Linked DNA regions of Drosophila melanogaster. The protein of the gene in region 2 purifies or fractionates together with the protein of the main gene of each other region. This does not show direct contact. Each region holds a gene or a part of one and is shown on either strand. Other genes may lie near its edges.

Evidence for each region. The genes of interacting proteins can lie anywhere in the genome.
Region 1: the proteins of Coprox (region 2) and mtDNA-helicase purify together in Drosophila melanogaster (affinity purification with mass spectrometry, with the first as the bait; one large-scale study listed by BioGRID). This does not show direct contact.
Region 3: the proteins of Coprox (region 2) and Prx4 purify together in Drosophila melanogaster (affinity purification with mass spectrometry, with the first as the bait; one large-scale study listed by BioGRID). This does not show direct contact.

What each region holds. Positions count from the first base shown.
Region 1 is NT_033779.5:9,890,721-9,895,092, reverse strand, and holds mtDNA-helicase (mitochondrial DNA helicase), read left to right. Parts: upstream 1-1,646; 5' UTR 1,647-1,673; coding exon 1,674-1,965; intron 1,966-2,023; coding exon 2,024-2,461; intron 2,462-2,630; coding exon 2,631-3,742; 3' UTR 3,743-3,830; downstream 3,831-4,372. Other genes in the region: CG4537 (uncharacterized protein), read right to left, coding at 3,831-3,960, 4,020-4,183; CG34183 (uncharacterized protein), read left to right, coding at 4,353-4,372.
Region 2 is NT_033779.5:6,962,392-6,966,387, reverse strand, and holds Coprox (coproporphyrinogen oxidase), read right to left. Parts: upstream 1,968-3,996; 5' UTR 1,870-1,967; coding exon 697-1,869; 3' UTR 501-696; downstream 1-500. Other genes in the region: sip2 (septin interacting protein 2), read left to right, coding at 2,571-2,644, 2,834-3,996. UniProt on the Drosophila melanogaster protein: Involved in the heme biosynthesis. Catalyzes the aerobic oxidative decarboxylation of propionate groups of rings A and B of coproporphyrinogen-III to yield the vinyl groups in protoporphyrinogen-IX.
Region 3 is NT_037436.4:3,040,513-3,044,708, reverse strand, and holds Prx4 (peroxiredoxin 4), read right to left. Parts: upstream 2,351-4,196; 5' UTR 2,259-2,350; intron 2,160-2,258; exon of another isoform or gene 1,937-2,159; intron 1,665-1,936; 5' UTR 1,658-1,664; coding exon 1,504-1,657; intron 1,438-1,503; coding exon 1,320-1,437; intron 1,269-1,319; coding exon 863-1,268; intron 805-862; coding exon 754-804; 3' UTR 535-753; downstream 1-534.

The DNA of each region.
Region 1 (4,372 bases), 2.9 Mb from region 2:
TACTACCATGGTTGCATTCAGAGACATCGATAGTTGGCCGCCATCTTTTCACAGAATTTTTCCTTCCACGTGCGATGACGAAACTCGTTCATTTTATTTCAAGACTCGAAATGGTAAGTTGTGTGCTCTTCGTAAATAGTTTTATATCAAGTGAATTAAAGTGCTTAAATGGAAGAGTGTTATGCCTCAAATGATGAAACAGATGACGAGACTGAAGGAACAAATTCTCGACTTGGCGCTGTATTTTTCAGTGCCTCGTTATATATTTGTTCATTTAAGATGATTCGGCGATCTGATGGCATATAACTTCAAGAACTTTCTTTGGGTTTGGCAAGAATATGTTCTAAAAGTTCTGTATTTCTTGCAGTGAACAATATTGAAACCCTAAGCATTTGGATAAATCGAAATCCGGGCACTCCACGTGCATGGTGCATGTGAGACACCTCGGGACAACATGTGAGCCCGTTGAGACACCTTGGGCACTGAGCCCACTGGAGACGCCATTGTCACATTGGAGGTAAGATATTAATACTTTTGGTTGGTCTATGCTTCTCTGATGATCTTTTACACAGACCTGTACTGAGCTCATAACCGTGCAGAAAATTGTAAACTGAAACCTAATCAAATATATAAAATATTTGGAAGTACTCCTTGTACACACTGTATTGATGCCATTTTCTTTTATTTCCAGAATTTACATTCTGGTTTGAGGTTATGTATGGGTCCAGCTGCAGCAGCGAGCACATGGATTTACCGATAAAGGTAATTTATTTACACTAACATTTTTATGTTTGAATGCAATATACGTTTTACTGATGATTAACTTCAACACCTTTTGCGGTTTCCACCAGAAAGCTTCGGCTTAATGATGGTCTAAGGCGTCTGACTAAAAAGTTTCAATAAAAACTTTATTATACTTAAACTAGCATTTTACTTACCTATTTTATCTCTTGTTTCCAGATCAACTCAGAAATGTGGTTTATCGCAGGCAAATATAACTAAATGAGCTCGTTTATTCGACTGTATAAGGTAATATTTTCGAGAATTTTTTTTTTTAAATTAATAAATAAACTGATGATTACCTTAAACACCTTTTGCGGTTTCCACCAGAAAGCTTCGGCTTAAGGATGGTCTAAGGCGTCTGACTAATACAAATATATATATTTCGGCTGTCTTGAGATGATGTATTTAATATATTTTATATTTTACTTTAATTGCAGAGTGACGTTGCCTTGTGTAAAAGATCTTGATATAAAAAGAATTGGACATCTTCAAATACTAAAATAAATAAACTAATAAAATCAAATAATCACGAATTGTATATATTTTTTATTGTTATTGGGATGGTGGAAAAGAGCCGCAATTTGTTTAATCAGTTGTACAAATAAAGTATTGACCTTAGAACAAAGTTATAGATAGATAATGCTTTATAATTTGAATTTACCGTGCTTAACTAAACTGGTATTTATCGAACAATTTAGCACAATTGTAAGCGCACTTTACGAAAGTAATTTAATGAGATTTCCTAGTATTAAATAGAGCGCTTCCCAGAGCACTGAGAGAGTACAAAGATATTTGAATGATTAATAGTAGGTAAACAAATCTTCAAAATTGCGCGCCCAATTGTCATCCCTATTTTCCACCCCTCACTTTCGATATCGATAACATGGAAAATGAGACGCGCCGGTTTAATCAAACCGCTGTTGCGTATAAATAACGAAAAACAACGTGTTTGGAGAAAAAACTACGCTACCCAAGTGGTTTCCGGCTTGGAGGAGTGCTCACTAGACCCCAAGGAGTATGTGGACTTCAAGCGGCAGCTGCGGCAGCTCAACTTGCCCCACAAAGACGGACACACGTGCTTGCAGCTGGAGTGTCGCCTCTGCGATCGCAATAGGCAGCCGGTGACAAACGCCCAAAAGGGCACCGATCATGGGCTGCTGGCTTACGTAAACAAGCGGACGGGTGAGAGCACCAATTACATTTCGCAAAAAAAACCGTAGTATATTCAATTTTCCTTTAGGAGCCTTTATCTGCCCCAATTGCGACGTAAAAACCTCACTGACCAGCGCTTTATTATCCTATCAGTTGCCCAAGCCGGTTGGCTATAAGCAACCGCTGCAGAGGCAGCCGGTCTATGAATCCCGATTTCCCCACCTGGCCGTGGTTACTCCCGAGGCCTGTGCAGCTTTGGGAATCAAGGGCTTGAAGGAGGACCAACTAAATGCCATAGGAGCACAGTGGGAGCCGCAGCAACAGCTGCTCCACTTTAAGTTACGCAATGCCGCGCAAGTGGAGGTTGGCGAAAAGGTGTTATATCTGGGCGATCGACGGGAGGAGATCTTCCAGAGCAGCTCCAGCTCCGGGCTGCTGATTCACGGTGCGATGAACAAAACCAAAGCGGTTCTAGTCAGCAATCTAATTGACTTTATTGTCCTTGCCACACAGAACATTGAAACGCGTAAGTGAAAACATAGCTTTTAGGAATATTTTTCATTGGTTGCAGAATAGTGAAGAAATCCTAGGGTGATATATTTAAGATATCAATTAAAAATAATTTGGAAACCAGTTTGGCTCAGCTAGTACACATTTAAGATATAATTTAATTTAAAAATTAAATTGTCTCCTAGATTGCGTTGTATGCCTGCCCTACGAACTGAAGACTCTACCACAAGAGTGTCTGCCCGCCTTGGAACGCTTCAAAGAGCTCATCTTTTGGTTGCACTACGATGCCAGTCACAGCTGGGATGCAGCTAGAGCTTTTGCGTTAAAGTTGGACGAAAGGCGATGCCTGTTAATCCGACCTACTGAGACGGAACCTGCGCCACATTTGGCTCTGCGCCGACGACTCAATCTGCGCCACATCCTGGCCAAAGCGACACCGGTGCAGCACAAGGCCATCACAACATTCGGAGCAATGCGAAATGACATTCTCAGCGAGTTGCAAAACATCGAGAAAGTCAATGGAGTAAAGTGGAAGCGCTTTCCAGTACTGAATAAGCTGCTCAAAGGCCATCGGAGGGGAGAGTTGACAATCCTCACAGGACCCACGGGTAGTGGAAAGACAACCTTTATGAGCGAGTACTCTCTGGATCTGGCCATGCAGGGCGTAAACACGCTGTGGGGCTCTTTTGAGATCCGAAACACCCGGCTGGCGGCCACCTTGCTTCGCCAGTATGTGGGCTACCCGTTGGACGACCGGTTGCATGAGTTTAACCACTGGGCAGCGGAGTTTGAGCGTTTGCCGCTATACTTTATGACCTTCCACGGACAGCAGCCCCTTAAGCCGGTTCTGGAAGCCATCGAGCATGCGTCGTATGTGCACGATGTGATGCACGTGATCATTGACAATCTGCAATTTATGATGGGCGTGTCCACATTTCGAGGCGACAAGTTCTTTGAACAGGACTCTATTATAGCTGCCTTTCGCTCCTTTGCCACCAAGCACAATGTACACGTGACACTCGTAATGCATCCGCGCAAGGAGCGGCAGGAGGACGAGCTGACCACCAGCTCGGTTTTCGGCACAGCAAAGGCCACCCAAGAAGCGGACAACGTGTTGATCATTCAAGACAAGAGGCTGACTTCTGTGCGGGGCAAGAAGTATCTCCAAATTGCCAAGAATCGTTATTCCGGCGACCTGGGCATCATGCCACTGGAATTCGACAAAGACGGCTTGAGCTACTCAACCCAGATCCAAAATGCCAAGCGAAAACGGGAAAAGACGCCATCCGAGAACTGATTAGTAAGGCATTTGTTGTACTATAGGTTATAATTATTCTGTTGTCTATGGTTAGTTTAGTCTTAAGTGCATCCTTTGATAAACTGCATCACGTTGAGCTCTGCTTGTAGTTCTTGGTGTTCATGATCTTCTTGCCGCACATGGCGCATATGGCCTTTTTGTAGGCGCACGCCTGGCAATAGTGCGAACCCATCTGGTGCACTTTCTGTCGGCAGATTCTGGATAATTAAAAATCAGATTAAGATATGCAGATGAATTCTTGAGGAGATTTCCCTACCGGCAAGGTGGTAAAGCAGTCCCTATGGGATTGTATCGCTCGCGGGCCGAGGATAAAGCCTTGTTCTCGTTGATTTTACGTCCTCCCGCAGGAGCTGTGCTCGTTCGCCAGGGATTGGGCGCTGAAACTTTGGAGAGCTTGGCCTCGCACTTCTCGCAAACCATTTTTGTTATCAATTCAATTTGTTTTTTATTTACGTTTTGCAAAAACAGAGTGACCATTCCATTGATATTAATATCGATTGTTTGCTACCGATTGACCGCATATTTCCCAACTAAGTGTCTATCGAAGGTTGTTATCGACCATCTCAATTGCAAATTTTGGAAGCGTAAAATGACTACAGAAAAAGGGGA
Region 2 (3,996 bases):
TGTTTGTGAAAGCCAAGCCATACATGATGATTGTGTATGTATACCATGTATACATACATACCATTCATGATGTATGTGCGTATGTGCTTAAATTTTCAAAGGTACAGTTGTGTAAAAAAAAACTATGATGAAAAATTAAAAAGTAGATATGTACGTATGCATACATGAAGTCATGTCGACAGGTCCTGTTATATTAGACCGGCTGTATATGTATATGTATATGTGTTCATTTTTAATATTGGTATTGGGTAAAAATTTCCGAAATTTTTCTTATAGATTTTTTGCTGTCTCACCATGACTCAGCACCATACATATATACTTTATATTGTAAAACATTTATTTTCCAGGCCCTTTAATTATGTATTGAGAAGCAAAGTAATGAGTCAAAGTCGAAGTCTATTGAGTTTGTTCATACTTTGTTGCATTTCATAGATGAATTTCATAACTCGTAATAAAATTAAAATTCATTAACATTATGTATTTAATTTTACTTGTTGAGTCCAATTTATAGTATTATTTGCCAATGTATACTGTATGTTGAATGGAATAAACTAGTTTTTCAAATATGGATAAATAGTTAGGAAACAATAACATTTTGTCATGTTTATTTGCAACAACAATTACAATATGTACACATTAAGTTTTAAATATAATGCAAAAGGCACCGGTTCCCTCTTAAGAACAATTAAAAATAGCTTAGACCCAATCCTTGGGGTTCTTCAGGACCTTCATCAGTTTGCCCTCCTCGGACTGGGACTTGGGCTCGTGCATGTACTCCCAGCGGGCGTGCAGGGGCAGGGACATCAGGATGCTCTCGTACCGGGCTCCAGGCGTGTATAGACCGAACTTGGTGCCACGATCGTAGATCAAATTGAACTCCACGTAGCGCCCGCGGCGCAGCAATTGCCACTGTCGTTCGTTGTTGCCATACTCCCGATTTTTGTGCTTTCGTACCAGCGGCACGTAGGAGGGAATCACGGCCCTGGCGCAGCTTGACACAAAGTTGAAGGCCGCCTCCTGGTTGGGCGAATCGATGTCGTCGAAAAAGATTCCGCCAATGCCGCGGCTCTCGTTGCGATGCTTGATGCGGAAGTAGTCGTCGCACCACTTCTTAAAGCGCGGGTAGTAGGTGGGATCGTGCTCATCGCAGGCGGACTTCAGCGTCTGGTGGAAGTGGGAGGCGTCCTTCTCGCAGAGGTAATAGGGCGTCAGATCCGTGCCGCCACCAAACCACCACTGCTTCTCCCCCTTGGCAGTTTCCACTTCAAAATAACGATAGTTGAAGTGAATGGTGGGGACATGGGGATTCCTCGGATGGATCACGGCACTCACACCGCTGGCAAAGAACGGCAACGAGGCGCCCTCCTTCAGATTCTTGCCGCGAGCCCGCATCTGTTGTACTGCAGCCGGGGGCAACGAACCGGTGACCACGGATATATTGACGCCTGCCTTCTCGAACACATCGCCATCCTGCAGGACGCAAGTGATGCCGCCTCCGCCCTCAGGCCGCTCCCACCGGTCCACCTTGAACTTCTGGCCACAGTTCTCCTCCGCCTCCAGGGCGCGGCAAAACTCCGCCTGGATCTCCATGATCAGGATCTCCATGCGATGACGCATGTTCTCCTTGTCCCCCAGCAGTGCCTTGGAGTCGGTGATGGGCTCGGCCATGAACCGCGAGGTGTTCATCTGCACCCCGTTGACCTTTGGGTCGACAGCCTCCGCGGAATGTGCGTACGTGACCGCCGAAAAGCTGGCCAGGCCCAATCCCGTGCCGAGGAGAAAGCCTCTGGCGTGCGGCCCCCTGGTCCGGCGCACCAGTTGAAAGGTGCCCAGCGATACCAGGGATATCGTGTGACGGAGTGCGTTCATTATGTGCTCTCGCCTACTTCAAATTTTTAACTTAACTTAAGTACTTTCGCCGAACGCAGTTTGTTTGTTATCTTTCACTGACCCGGCATTTCTAGTTGCATAGTCGCCGGTGTGACCGTGATATCACCAAAATATACCGAAAATAGGGGGCTCGCGATTTTGTTCTATTTACAGAGATACAAGAAGTTGTAACGTTCTTATAAAAATATTATATATTGTTAAGAACACTAGCTAGCTCAATATGTCTGTATATATACACAAAATAATAATAATAAATAATATATGTTAAAAGTTACGGAGCAGTACAATTGCTTTTAATGGTAGACATATTTGTCTTAATTTTATATTATTATTTGTTATAAGTGATATAACTCCGATGATGTATATGTGTAGTGTCCATTGGAATACCCCATTCAAAAATATAAGCGCAATACGGGCACTCTGTCGTGGCATTTGAAATAAACGACTGCAAAGGCGCGTCGATCGTTGGCAAATGAGCGTGCTGTGAAGAAATCCATGAAATATTTGCGTGTGCGCCTTGAAGATTAAGGAAGATCTGCGTGAATACTATTGCCAGAAGGTAGGTGATCGACTGGAGCGAACTCTAAATCCTCTGAACTATAGTCAACGCGCAATTATACGTGTTTATCCCGTCGACTGGAGTTTTGCACCCAGGACACACGCACACTCGCACACTCACGATGTCTGGCCTCAAGAAATTCCAAAACACTGAGGAATGGCGTCAGAAACTCCGTCAGTTTCTAATGACCGAGCGGTAAATACACATTGAAACCCATCCTTGGATAGTGTTGCACTAGTGTTCGATGAATTTGTAGTCATTTACTTTCAAACAAGCCACCTGCATGTCAAAATTGTTAGAGAAACAGTACGCATAAATAGTTTGGACAGTTTAGACACACATACAATTTAGTTGAGAAAACTAATAACAGTTTTCCTTTTTCAGCTTGCCGAAAAAGCCCGTGAAAATGGACGAAACGAAGGATATGCGCTATAGTTTGGAGATCGACGAGGATTTGAGGAGACCCTTGGAGGCGCGGGCCAAGAAAGTTCTGGCCGTTAATTCTGCCAGTCAAAGGACTGTTAATCTCGGCGAGGATACTATGTACGAGGCAGGTGACTTGGAGCACTTGGACGATGGCGATGATAGCTTCAGTGCCTTTGAGCGCATGTGCGACAAAACCGGTTCCGATCCGGATAGCACTCTTTTCCAGTACCTGCACAGCGAGGACCGGAGTCAGGTGATGGCCAGGGCTAGGGATCATAGCACCGACGATCAGAAAGAGATCGATGCACTGCGTCGCATGCTAGAGGCAGTGGGTACAGAAGACGATCTATTGGAGAACGAAAGTCCCGTCAAGGGGGCGGAGTGCACTCACCTGGAGGACATTGAGGCGCCGTCGCGCTTTTGGGACAACACCCTGGCCGGAATGGACGAGACCTCATCCGACTCTGGGCTGACTCCTAAAGCATTGACCAAGGTTTCGCCTGTCAAAATGGTGGGGCTGCTTCGCCCCTCAACCATCATCGAAGACAGCGAACTGGAGTCGTCTGATGTGTCTTCACACACAAGCTTCCAAAGCGCTCGCACCCTAAAGACAAATGCATCTAGTTCTTACGAAACAGCCACGGATACTTCCCTCAGTGGAACGCTCCTAAACGTCGACGAATTGTTTTACGCCGCAATTGCCAAGGCCAAGCCACCAGGAATGTCCAAGGGAGAGGAGCTGGAGCTCTTAAGCGATCTTCATGGCAGTCTTAGAGAGCTGGCCTCACTTCCGAAGGATGAGGTCGAGGAGGAAGAGGACGATATAGAGGATACAATAATCGAGCTATCCTCTTCTGACGATGAAGAAGTGCAGCTAGTTCCAGAAGTAAAACAAGAAGACACGTCCCGTGTGTCCTCAGTCCACGGAAAAGATCACACTGAGCAGAAACCAGCGGAGAAGAGCGTTGAAAATAAGGAAAATTCGTTGCATTTCAATGATACCATGGAAGAAATGGAGTACATGATGCAAAAGGGTATGGAGTACATGGCAGGTGGGGCTCCTTCAGTCGCCGCAGTCAAGGCAGATTGCCCTGTGCTGCCCAAGACCAAACAAAGCACGT
Region 3 (4,196 bases), on a different chromosome or scaffold from region 2:
TGAACAGTGCAACGCTTTGATCGATACGGAATCTCCGCAGCAAAGGAATCTCCCGCACAACTTGGATCTGAACCGCAGTTGCACCTTCGTTATTTTATGAACCTCGGTTTTGGCATTTAAAGCTCACCACAATGAAGCACTTACTGACAAACGCACAAAACGGAAAACAGAAAGCAGACTACACACGAAGAATCCGACGAGAACGAGTGCCTTATGACGTCCTAGTTATTGTCGTCGCCCCCGTCCCGTTTCCCCAGATTTATATACCTCGACAGACCTAGCTTTGTTGTACGCATAGGTCGGAGCACAGGATAACTTAATTGCAACCATGGCGTACCTAACTAATTTACTATTACCTTTTACCTACTACATATTACATATTACATATATTTTTGTATGAAACTAATTGCAATCGAATTGTTACCCATTAGAGTGGCCTAGTGAGCCAGCTTTCAAGGCATTTTGAGATCGAAAACATCTCCTCCTTTTTGGTACCGCTCCTGTGGCGCCGCGCAATTTTCATCACCTTCACATGTACTTCATGAATTTATTTATATCTCAGTTATGCTGTAAAATAAACAAACTATGTTTTGTACAAAGCAAATGCGAAATATTCACAATCGGTGGCATTGCGGATTTGGATTTTCTGTACAGAGGACTCTAGCGATTGTTCGTTTGCATCGTGATTCAGTCGTGAACATTAGGAATGTAACTGGGCTAGGCTACTAAGGTAATGTGCATCTCTATCTGTCCCTAGTTGTTCTTGGCAAAGTACTTCGTCTTCTCCTCAGGATTGGGAACGATCTGTAAAGGTAATGGTATCAAAAAGAATTTACCTAAGGCAATGCTTCAAAAAACCTACCGTATCGGCACCTGGCCGCCAACCTGCTGGGCAAACCTCTCCATGGGTGTCCGTATACTGGAAGGCCTGAACCAGACGAATAGTCTCGTCCACAGAGCGTCCCACGGGCAAATCATTCATGGTGATCTGTCGCAGCACTCCGGTCTGATCGATAATGAAGAGACCGCGCAGCGCATGACCGCTGGACTCCAAGTAGACTCCGTAGTCCTTGCTGATCTTATGCGTTAGATCGGAGAGCAGTGGGATCTTCACGTCGCCCAGGCCGCCCTCCTTGCGCGGCGTGTTTATCCAGGCCAAGTGGGTGAAGTGCGAGTCCACGCTGACGCCAATCACCTCGGTCTTGATCTTCTTGAACTCGGCGATGCGGTCGGAGAAGGCAATGATCTCCGTTGGGCATACAAAGGTGCTAAAATGGCAATGAGAAATGCGATCATACTAAATGTAAATGTAAACTTACAAGTCCAGTGGGTAGAAGAGTAGCACCACATATTTCCCTAGATACTGGGACAATGATAGCTTCACAATCTCCTTATTAACCACGGCGGTGCCCTCGAACTGCGGAGCTGGCTTGGAAACTGGGGAAATAAGGGTAGCAGCAACTTAATAGTGATCCCTGGTTTTTTGCATCCAATGGAACTCACTGACTGCCTTGGTGTACTGCAGCTGATGGTCGCCCTTCGGCTGGTCGGGATAAACGGAGCCGCCGGCGAAGGAATAGCACGATTCATTATCTTCCGGCTTGGCAGCTCCAACGAGTGCCGCGGACAGCAGTAGGACAGATAAGTACTTGGACATGATTGGGCTGAAACGAGATCCACGTACGTATATGGCTATTGGATTCGGTTTATACGCTATTTATTACACGCGGCCTTTACAATTATTGCCGCTCTTTATATTTATAATAAATCTGTGTACAGTGGTCGCCCAACTATCTTTAATTTTGTAAATTATGTAAAGATATATAATTTTGAATGTTAATTAGGAACAAAACTAAACTTCAAAGAAAAGATACTCCTTCTATGTACTAAATCCTTGTTCCGTCCGTGTCAGCCAGTCTCTACTGTACGCACATACCCAAAATTCGAACACGCCCACAACTTGTAGCCACGCAGTCAAAAAAGTAACTATTTCAACGGGCAGAACTTCAATTGATTTTGGTGGAACGCGCTTATTGTTGCTGCGCTTCCGAAAAGATAAGCTTATCAATTTCATTCACTTCACTGCTATTATAATTTATAGTTGTCAGCGTGTAACCGATTTAAACAAATATAGTTTACAAAACTACTAAAATTCCAATGCCAATGCGATTGCCTAGCTCCGATTTGAATATTTATTTTTAGTTGCAGGGTAGTTAACTTGCTTGCATTAAGCAACAATGCAAACGCACAGCTGTTACCTTTTAAGCGCTATAATTAACTCTTTTTGTTTTAATAACAAATTGTTCTGCCGGCATTGGTGTGACCGTAATACGCAAAAATACCATACTGTCGTTCCGACACCAATGCATAGTTCAGCATTGCCAACATAAATTTCATTATGAAATATTTGAATTTTCATTTCATATTAACGCGTAACTGCAATTTTGAAAGAATATTATTTTAGAAAAAATATCTGTGCTGCATTGGCGAATCAAAAGCGATGTATGGCCATGCTATGATCTATCCAATTTTTTTTAAGTAAAAAACACTTTCTCAGTTAACTTTTACTTACGCTATAAACTTTATTAAAATATATACAGTTTGTCAAGAAACTGTTTACACACTGTGAAATAAGTTGAATTTTTGACTTTAAAGCTAAAAATAAAGGGTTTTTTGCTTAATTAAACGCAATTTTTTTATAAAATATAATTAAACAATATTTATTTTACTTATAAATCAAAAAACAAATTAAAAATATTAAATATACAAGAAAATAAACAACAAATTCCAAGTTTACACACTTTTGAGACTGTCAAGAAACTCTTTACACATTTTGTTTTCCTACTTTGTTTTGTTCTTTTTCTTAGAACGAACTCGATTTTTCCGTTATTTTTGGCTTTGCATTGCTTTTTACAACGCTTCTATTGAAATTTTGTTGACTTTGCTTGTGAAATTTTGCTGATCAAACGTGCTTAAAGCGAATTATTAAATTTAATAAAATGCCTGGAAAGAGATTAACTTTTGAAGTTACCCAATTAATAAACTATAACCACCAGTTGGGAAAATCTTTTCCAGAATTAGTATAAATGTTTCCTGTATCCCGTAAGACCGTCTACAATGTTTTAAAAGGCTCGGAAAAAGAGGGCAGGCTTGAACCTAAGAGCGGTGGTGGGCGGAAAATTAAAATTAAAAAGCGTGTAGACCGCTTTATTATGCGAATAGTGATTGCGAACCCCCGAATCTCGGTCAGATCACTTGCTCTGGATATCAGGCAAGAATGCCACCTAACTGTGTCACACGAAACTGTGCGCCAAGTCATCCTACGCCATAGGTACTCTTCAAGATTTGCAAGGAAAAACCCTTTGCTATCAGATGCCAATATGGAAAAGCGTCATTAATTCGCTGTGAGCATGATGGATCATGCGGAAGAGTACTGGGATGACGTCATATTTTGTGACGAAACAAAAATGATGCTCTTTTATAACGACGGGCCAAGCAGAGTATGGCGCAAACCGTTGAGTGCGCTAGAAAAACAAAATATCATTCCAACGATAAAATTTGGAAAAATGTCACTGATGGTTTGGGGCTGTATCACCAGCCGTGGAGTGGGAAAACTAGCCTTAATTGAGAGCACAATAACTGCCGTGCAATATCTAGAAATGTTAAAAAACAAATTTGAAGGCCAGTGCAGAAAAATTCGGTCTAGTTAGCAACAACAAGCCAAATCTTAAGTTTTACCAGGACATGATCAGAAACATAAAGAGTGCAATGTACGCACCTGGCGCCTTAATAACTGTGGTAAAGTGATCGATACGCCCCCTCAGAGTCCTGATCTGAACCCCATTGAAAATTTGTGGACCTACTTAAAGAAGAAGGTGGCAAAAAGGGACCTAAAACACAACAACAGCTTATGACTGTAATAGTCGAAGAGTGTGAAAAGATCCCGTTTGAATATGACCTGCAAAAACTTGTCCAATCCATGAAAAAAAGGCTTCAACTTGTAGCTAAAGCCAATGGGGAACATACTACATACCAAAACTTTTAAAATTTTAATAAAATAATTAAAAAATTTAGGATTAAACTTCGATTTAGTGTTTTGTGTAAAGAGTTTCTTGACAGTCTCAAAAGTGTGTAAACTTGGAATTTGTTGTTTATTTTCTTGTATATTTAATATTTTTAATTTGTTTTTTGATTTA